Sus scrofa: one gene and its partner. Each later gene encodes a partner of the first gene's protein in a complex. Links are inferred from orthologs where the notes say so. Each region holds a gene or a part of one and is shown in the gene's direction. Other genes may lie near its edges. The genes, in order: STRAP and GEMIN2.

Region 1 (3,824 bases):
TACCACAGCCACAGGAATGTGAGATCTCAGCCACATCTGCGATCTACACTGCAGCTCACTACAATTTGGGATCCCTGACCCACTGATCAAGGCCGGGGATGGAACCTGCATCCTCATGGATACTAGTTGGATTCATTTCTGCTACGCCACAACAGGAACTCTGGGTTCTTAAATTTTGTATCATGGGCACTATTCGTAAGTCAACAAACTTTTAGAAGTTTGTAAGAAAGTCAAAGCTACATTGGAAATTAAAGGTGAGGAAACAAACTACATTTATGGATTGTTCTCCTTTGGCATGAGAGTTTCTCTCTTTATTCTATCTAATAAACATAGCAAACTACTCTGACCTCACTTAATCAGTGTACTGTCTGACTCAGCAGTATAGTTCGGCCCTAGGCCAACATTTTTCATCTTTTACCTTTCTCAAAGCTGCTTTTTGAAAATGGCTCTTACACTGTCTTGAATTAGAAAGATGAGCAATTAACTGAGTTTTTACTGTCTGTCAGATATCAGATTAGAAAATGTAGATGGGCTGCATGACCATGTGTGCACGGTTTTTATCTGTGAATGATAGCAGCATCTGTCTGTGTTCTGCATTCAGATCTTGCTGTCCACACAGACATCATGCAGCCAAAGAGTAAGTTGGTATCATAGTACTGGTCTAGTGTTGTCTCTTTGGACCTATTCCCACTGGCCAGCCTCCAAGTTCCCCCACACAGAACTTTGGGAAAAGAGATTTTGTCACTTGGGGAATTTAATGTGAGATAACTGTAGTAACTTACTGTACTTTTGAAGGGGAAAAGGCAAAAAAAAAAAAAAGAAACTTTAAATGTATATTCTCATTTGATTCTTTAAATGCATATTCTCATTGAACTCTCAGGTATAGTAACCATTGTTAATCCGTTTATAGGTAAATAAATATAGTCTTCAAAAGGTTAAGTTGTGTTGAATGAACTTGCCTTTAACATTGTTTTTTGTCCAGAGGTAACAGGTGATTTTGTTGGGTTTTTTAATCTTTTGAAAGGAAAGACAGGTTCCCACTTTTTTGATGCTTTGCCCTGCTAACAGTGGTGTGGATGAGGGGCCTAGCATTACTGATAGCACTAGAATTAGCTCAACTGTCTTGTGCCTGGGTGCATGTTTTTTGTTTTTTTTTTTTGTCTTTTTGCTATTTCTTGGGCCGCTCCTGTGGCATATGGAGGTTCCCAGGCTAGGGGTCGAATCGGAGCTGTAGCCACCGGCCTACACCACAGCCACAGCAACGCAGGATCCGAGCCACGTCTGCGACCTACACCATAGCTCACGGCAACGCCGGATGTTAACCCACTGAGCAAGGGCAGGGACCGAACCCGAAACCTCATGGTTCCTAGTCGGATTCGTTAACCACTGTGCCATGACGGAACTCCCTGGGCGCGTGTTTTTATGAAGTTAGGCTATCTTAGTTCTTCTTTTACTTCATGTGGTACAATAATGCTTTTGAAAGCAGAAGGGTAGGTTGGAGGGAGTGCTGTATTCAATCCTAGATACATATAGCATCATAGTTTGTGGGTTCCTTGTCATGCAGAGAAATTTTTTAGTATGGGAAAACTAAATGTATTCTAGGTGAACATCAAGTTTAAATTGTGATGGAGTTTGAGAAGTCACTGTCCAATTTAAAAGATAGTTTTTCTTTTCTCTTTATTTAGTTGTTCAAATGCTGCTTTGTTTTAAAAATCACATATTAACAAATATGGTTTAAATTGTTTTACCTTAAGAACCTAAGGAAATCAGTGGTCACAGTTCTGGTATTAAAAAGGCTCTGTGGTGCAGTGAGGATAAACAGATTCTTTCAGCTGATGATAAAACTGTTCGGTAAGTAATTTTTCTTTTTCTTTTTCTTTCTTTCTTTTTTTTTTTTTTTTTGTCTTTTTGCTATTTCTTGGGCCGCCCCCGCGGCATATGGAGGTTCCCAGGCTAGGGGTCGAATCGGAGCTGCAGCCACCAGCCTACGCCAGAGCCACAGCAACGCAGGATCTGAGCCGCGTCTGCAACCTATACCACAGCTCACGGCAACGCCGGTCATTAACCCACTGAGCAAGGGCATGGTTCCTAGTCGGATTCATTAACCACTGTGCCACAATGGGAACTCCAGTAATTTTTCTTTAATAATTTAAAGTTCAAGAGTTTCCTTGTGGCAGGTTAAGGATCTGGCATTGTCACTGCAGTGGCTTAGGTCACTCCTGTGGCTCAGGTTTGACCCCTGGCCTGGGAACTTAGATGTGCTGAGGGCATGGCCAAAAAAAAAATTAAGTTTGAGAAATTATTTGACCTTAGAGCTTAAGTTTTTTTAAAAAAATTAACTATTATGTAGGAAGGATTGTGTCTGAACATTACAACTTTGGCTTTATATAGGTCACATTCTTCTGGAGCTATCCATCATTTACTGTTATAAACATAGAGCAGAATTCACAAGACAATTAAAACTGCTGACACCTTTATAAGCATGTCTTTTTAATCTGGGTCAGTGGACAGGTTGGCCTTAGAAAGTCCATTAAGCCCCTGAAATCCTATGCACAATTTTGTGAGCTGATACCTAATGTATTTTTCTATGTAAAGTTAAATAGGTTGTCATCAGACTCACAAAAATAGAATGTAATAATTATTATTTGGAGAAGTACTGAAATTGATTAGATTGAGAAATAAGTGTCTTCATAGCATAGCTTTGCTGAATCATTTGGGAAATATATTTAAAATATTAATATTAACTTTACCAACACGTGACCAAATAATTTGATGTTTTGTAGGAACCCAAAATTTCTCAGTATCGTCTGTGATTTATGAGTTGGAATGGAGGTTGTTTTACTAAGTGATTAGTCTTTCATTGGTTAATTTGCAGATGTAATTTAAGCTATAAGCTTTTTTATTCAATGAGTAAACACTAGCTTATTTTTCTCTTCTTTTTTTCCCTCCCCCCCCAGCCTTTGGGACCATGCTACTATGACAGAAGTGAAATCTCTAAATTTTAATATGTCTGTTAGCAGTATGGAATATATTCCTGAGGGAGAGATCTTGGTAATAACTTATGGACGATCTATTGCTTTTCATAGTGCAATAAGGTATGTCTTAAAAAATACCTTTACTTTCTTTTCTGGTAACAAAAGGGCAATTTAAGGTACTCAAGAATTGGAAGGTAGCAGTTCCTTAGTGGCCTAGTGATTAAGGACTCAGCATTGTCACTGCTGTGGCTCAGGTTTGATCCTTCACCCAGGAACTTCTGCATGCTGAGGGCATGGCCAAAAAATAAAATAATAATAAAAAAATTGAAAGTCATATGCTAAGTATTTAACTCTTTTAAAGACAAGTCTTGGCCTATTACTGTAATATGGAGGGAAATGTTTCCATACCCAATAATAATGTGTTCCTTAAGAATTTAGAAGTTCTCTTGTGGTGCAGCAAGGATCCAGGATTGTCACTGCAGTGGCTTGGATCACTGCTATGGCATGGGCTCAATCCCTGCCCCAGGAACTTTCTCATGCCATGAGTGCAGCCCCCCAAAAAAGTTATAGAAAAAAAAAATATAGAGACATTTGTTTAAAAAAGAGAGAGAATGTGGTATACTTTAAGCAGAGGAGTTAAATTCATTTCCAGATACTTAGGACATTTATTGGTAAAATTTAACAACTTTCAATTTATAATTTTCTTGAAAGGATCACTGGACTGGTGCTATAATTAATGTTGTTCATTACTGTGTAAAACCGCTATGATCTTGATTCTGCTATTTCACTTTAAAATTTCAGAGAAATTGTGATTTTTTCCCCCCCCGTTCCAAGTATAGTATAGACCTA
Region 2 (3,824 bases), on another chromosome or scaffold:
CAAGAGAGCTCCTAATTGGTCCTGCTTTTTTTCAGTCTGACAATGTAGAATAAATATTTCTTATTTGATTGGACAGCCCTTTAAGTATGTGGAATATGTAATCATGTCTCCTTCCCTGGGATTCTCATCCTTTATTCTTGTAAGCATTCTTAGTGTCCCATATCAGCTCCTATCTTTATCACCCTCTTTTGAACACACTCTTGTTTGTCACTGTCCATAAAGTATGATTCAAACTATAGAGTTCCCATTGTGGCTCAGTGGGTCAAGAACCCAACACAGTGTCCGTAAGGATGCAGGTTCGATCCCTGGCCTCCTTCAGTGGGTTAAGGATCTGACATTGCTGCAAGCTGCCATTGTCACATTCGTGGCTCATATCCTGCATTGCTGTGACTGTGGTGTAGGCCTGTAGCTTCAGCTCCGATTTGACCCCTAGCCTGGGAACTTCCATATGCTGTAGATGCAGCCCTAAAAAAAATAAAATAAAAAAATAAGTAAATAATAAAGTACAATCCAAACTAAATGCTGGTGTGACCATCAAAGTCTGAGATCAGGGTGTCGGTACATTTCTCTTCAGGCCTCTCTCTTTGGTTTCAGATGGTCATCTTCTTGCTTTGTCCTCACATAGTCTCCTGTGTGCACACACATGTGTAATAGCTCTCTGTCCACATTTCCTCTTCTTATGGATGCAGGTCATTTTGGATTAGGACCTGCCCTAACTACCTCATTTTAACTTAATTGCTGCTATAAAGGCCCAGACTTCAAATAATCACATTCTGAGGTACTGCGGGTTAGGACTGCAGCACGTGATTTTTAGGACTACACAGTTCACTCTTTCGTAACAGGCAGTATATCTTTGTGTTGAGGTGGTGGGGATACAGAGGAATTCTCACTTATTTTTTTCACTGTTGAGTATTTTCTTTAAAAATTATATAGGAATAACTAAATTCTTCTTCTTTTTTCTTTGTTTTAGCCAAAATCTGAAGATGAAGAAGGCTGGAAAAAATTTTGTCTCGGTGAAAGGTTATGTGCTGAAGGAGTTACTGTTGGACCAGCTGCAAGTGAAAGTCCTGGAATTGATTATGTACAAGTAGGTGATAATGTGGCTACACAAAGAAAAATTATAATTTCAGTGCATGATTTCATGTAAAGACTCAGCAAACTGCAGTCTAGGCCAAATCCAATCTGCAACCTGTTCTTGTCCAGCTCATGAGCTAAACATAAAAACTTTATAGTTTTTACATTTTTAAAGGGTTGTTAAAAAAAATTAATAATAATGTGACTTAGACAGTATATGGTCTACAAAACCTAAAATATTTGCTGTCTGGCTCTTTACGGAAATTACTTGCCAATCCCTAACTTAGTTCATTGGCTCTTTGACTTAAAAATTGATAGCCTCATTTATAAAACAATGTACTGTGGCTCTTTTTAGGTTAGCTTCATATCTCTTATGGTTTAGCTTTTTAATAATTTTGTCAGATAGGATTCTTTTTTTAAAAAACCATTAGGCATGAGTCAAACAATGAGTTATAAGTAGTCAAGGAAACAAAGTTAGGTGCTTTAAAATGTTTATTCATAAATTCATATTCTGGAGATTAAATGTTGAGGGTATATTTTAATTTCACGTGACTTTATTTTATTTTTTTTGCTTTTTTTAGGGCTGCACCCGTGGCATACGGAGGTTCCCAGGCTATGGGTCTAATCAGAGCTACTGCTGCTGGCCTACACCACAGCCACAGCAATGCAGGATCCAAGCCACGTCTTCCACCCACACCACAGCTCATGGTAACGCTGGATCCTCAACCCACTGAGCGAGGCCAGGGATCAAACCCACAATCTCATGGTTCCTAGTTGGATTCTTTTCCACTTCACCACAATGGGAACTCCAATTTCACGTGACTTTTATTTTAATCATAAATTATGTAGCTATCTGCTTCTTGTCCTTTAGCATTCGCTTGCCTTCAGCATTCGCTTGCCTTCAAGTGTGCAGATGTTCCAAGGAAACTCACTGTATTCATCTGCATTACTAGTAACTCCTGAAACTATGTTGTTCTGTTGAATAGATATTTATCATTTTCTGTGTGGTGCCACATTGTGTTTTTCCTATTAAAATTAGTTTTAAAAAAATAAATAAATAAATAAAGTAAAATTAGTTTAGCCCCAAAATGTAAAGCTCCAAAAATCACTGAAAAACACCAAGAACCCAAATTAAAAAAAAAAAAAAAAAGGCAAAGAATATAAAGGACATCTCACAAGAAGGAAATACAGATTGTTCTTACATGAGAAGATGCCCAGACTCACTTATGATAGAAATTTAACTTATAATTGCACTGAGCTGGTATGACATATTGGTAAAGAAAATTTGATACACTGAGTCAACAAAGGCTAGGAAGACAGGCACTCTTACACATGGTAGTGGGAGTGTAGACAGATTCAAATCTCTAAGGGAGCTAATTTGACACTGTTTCTTAGACAACTTATGTTCTTTGGGATAATATCCATAATATATTTTAATTTGACACAGAATTAAAATATATATAGTTCGTTATTACCAAATACATACAGGTGAGGGAGTTCCCATTTGGAGCATTGGAAACAAATCTGACTAGTACCCATGAGGATGCAGGTTCGGTTTCTGGCCTTGCTCAGTGGGTCCATGGTCCGGCGTTGCCACGACCTGTGGTGTAAGTTGCAGACATGGTTCAGATCCCGCGTTGCTGTGGCTGTGGTGTAGGCCGGCAGCTATATCTTCGATTCAACCCCTAGCCTAGAAGGCTTCCATATGCCACGGGTGCACCCCTAAAAAGAAAAGAAAACAAAACAAAACCCAAAATACATACAAGTAAAGCATATCATGTGAAAGAACAATTTAAGAACATAAAAGTTTAATGCATGTCCTCAAGTTTCGCACCAAGTCAGGACTGTTTTCATAATCCAGGCTTCCCGCATTAAATTCCAAAGCACTTTCTTAAATTGAAGCAGACTAGGTTTGAAAAAACTCATTCAAGTGCCTTTAATTCCTGAAAATAATAACTTTAGCTGAAGATTTTGAAAAAGTGTATACAACATATTAATGTCATAGTATCATTTTTTTCAGTTTCACGTTTTAACATCTTAATTACTAAAATCGTTCTTTGGTTTTAATTTACGTGTTCAAATGTTAAGACATTATTTTCTTGGGCATTACCAACATAATAGCTCATGGAATATTTTATTGTAATGGACAGTGGAGAAATTTTTCTTTTATCTAGTCTTTGTTCTTTAATAACAGTGTGTTGAGAAATTCACCAGTTTGGAAAAAAAAAAAAAAAAATGAAGCCCCCTCCTTGTAATACTATTTAGTAAATTTCAATTTAATTTTTCTTTCAGATTGGTTTTCCTCCCTTGCTTAGCATTGTTAGCAGAATGAATCAGGTAAAGTCTGTCTGATAATAAGAATGTTAAGTGTTCTTTTGTTTGCAATGTGTGTTAAAATATTTAAATAATTTGCTGAATATTTACAGTATGTAAGACCCAGTTCTAGACTTTGTAACAGTTCTTATTTAATCCTCACTACAACCCTTTATGGGGGATTATTATTAATACCTATTTTTTTGTAGCTGAGGAAACAGAATTAAAGTCACTTGGTGGTTTTTCAGTGAATTTTAATGGTGACATTGGGACTCAGCCCCAGGTTGATCTGATGTTAGAACTCATGCTCTTGATCATGGTGCTAAACTATTCACATATATACATTTTAGTTATAAGTCTTAGATTCTGGGGTTTGAAATAAATACTGAGATCAAAAAGGTGTTTCTAGTTCTGGATGACCTACGCATTTCACTAAG

The links.
Region 2: STRAP (region 1) and GEMIN2 share a complex: the UniProt entries of both Homo sapiens proteins name them as parts of the SMN-Sm complex. The link is inferred for Sus scrofa from reciprocal best matches to the Homo sapiens genes STRAP and GEMIN2.

Annotation. Positions count from the first base shown.
Region 1 is NC_010447.5:56,723,222-56,727,045, reverse strand, and holds part of STRAP (serine-threonine kinase receptor-associated protein), read left to right. Parts: intron 1-1,754; coding exon 1,755-1,851; intron 1,852-2,957; coding exon 2,958-3,095; intron 3,096-3,824. UniProt on the Homo sapiens protein: The SMN complex catalyzes the assembly of small nuclear ribonucleoproteins (snRNPs), the building blocks of the spliceosome, and thereby plays an important role in the splicing of cellular pre-mRNAs.
Region 2 is NC_010443.5:169,682,420-169,686,243, forward strand, and holds part of GEMIN2 (gem-associated protein 2), read left to right. Parts: intron 1-970; coding exon 971-1,087; intron 1,088-3,366; coding exon 3,367-3,411; intron 3,412-3,824. UniProt on the Homo sapiens protein: The SMN complex catalyzes the assembly of small nuclear ribonucleoproteins (snRNPs), the building blocks of the spliceosome, and thereby plays an important role in the splicing of cellular pre-mRNAs.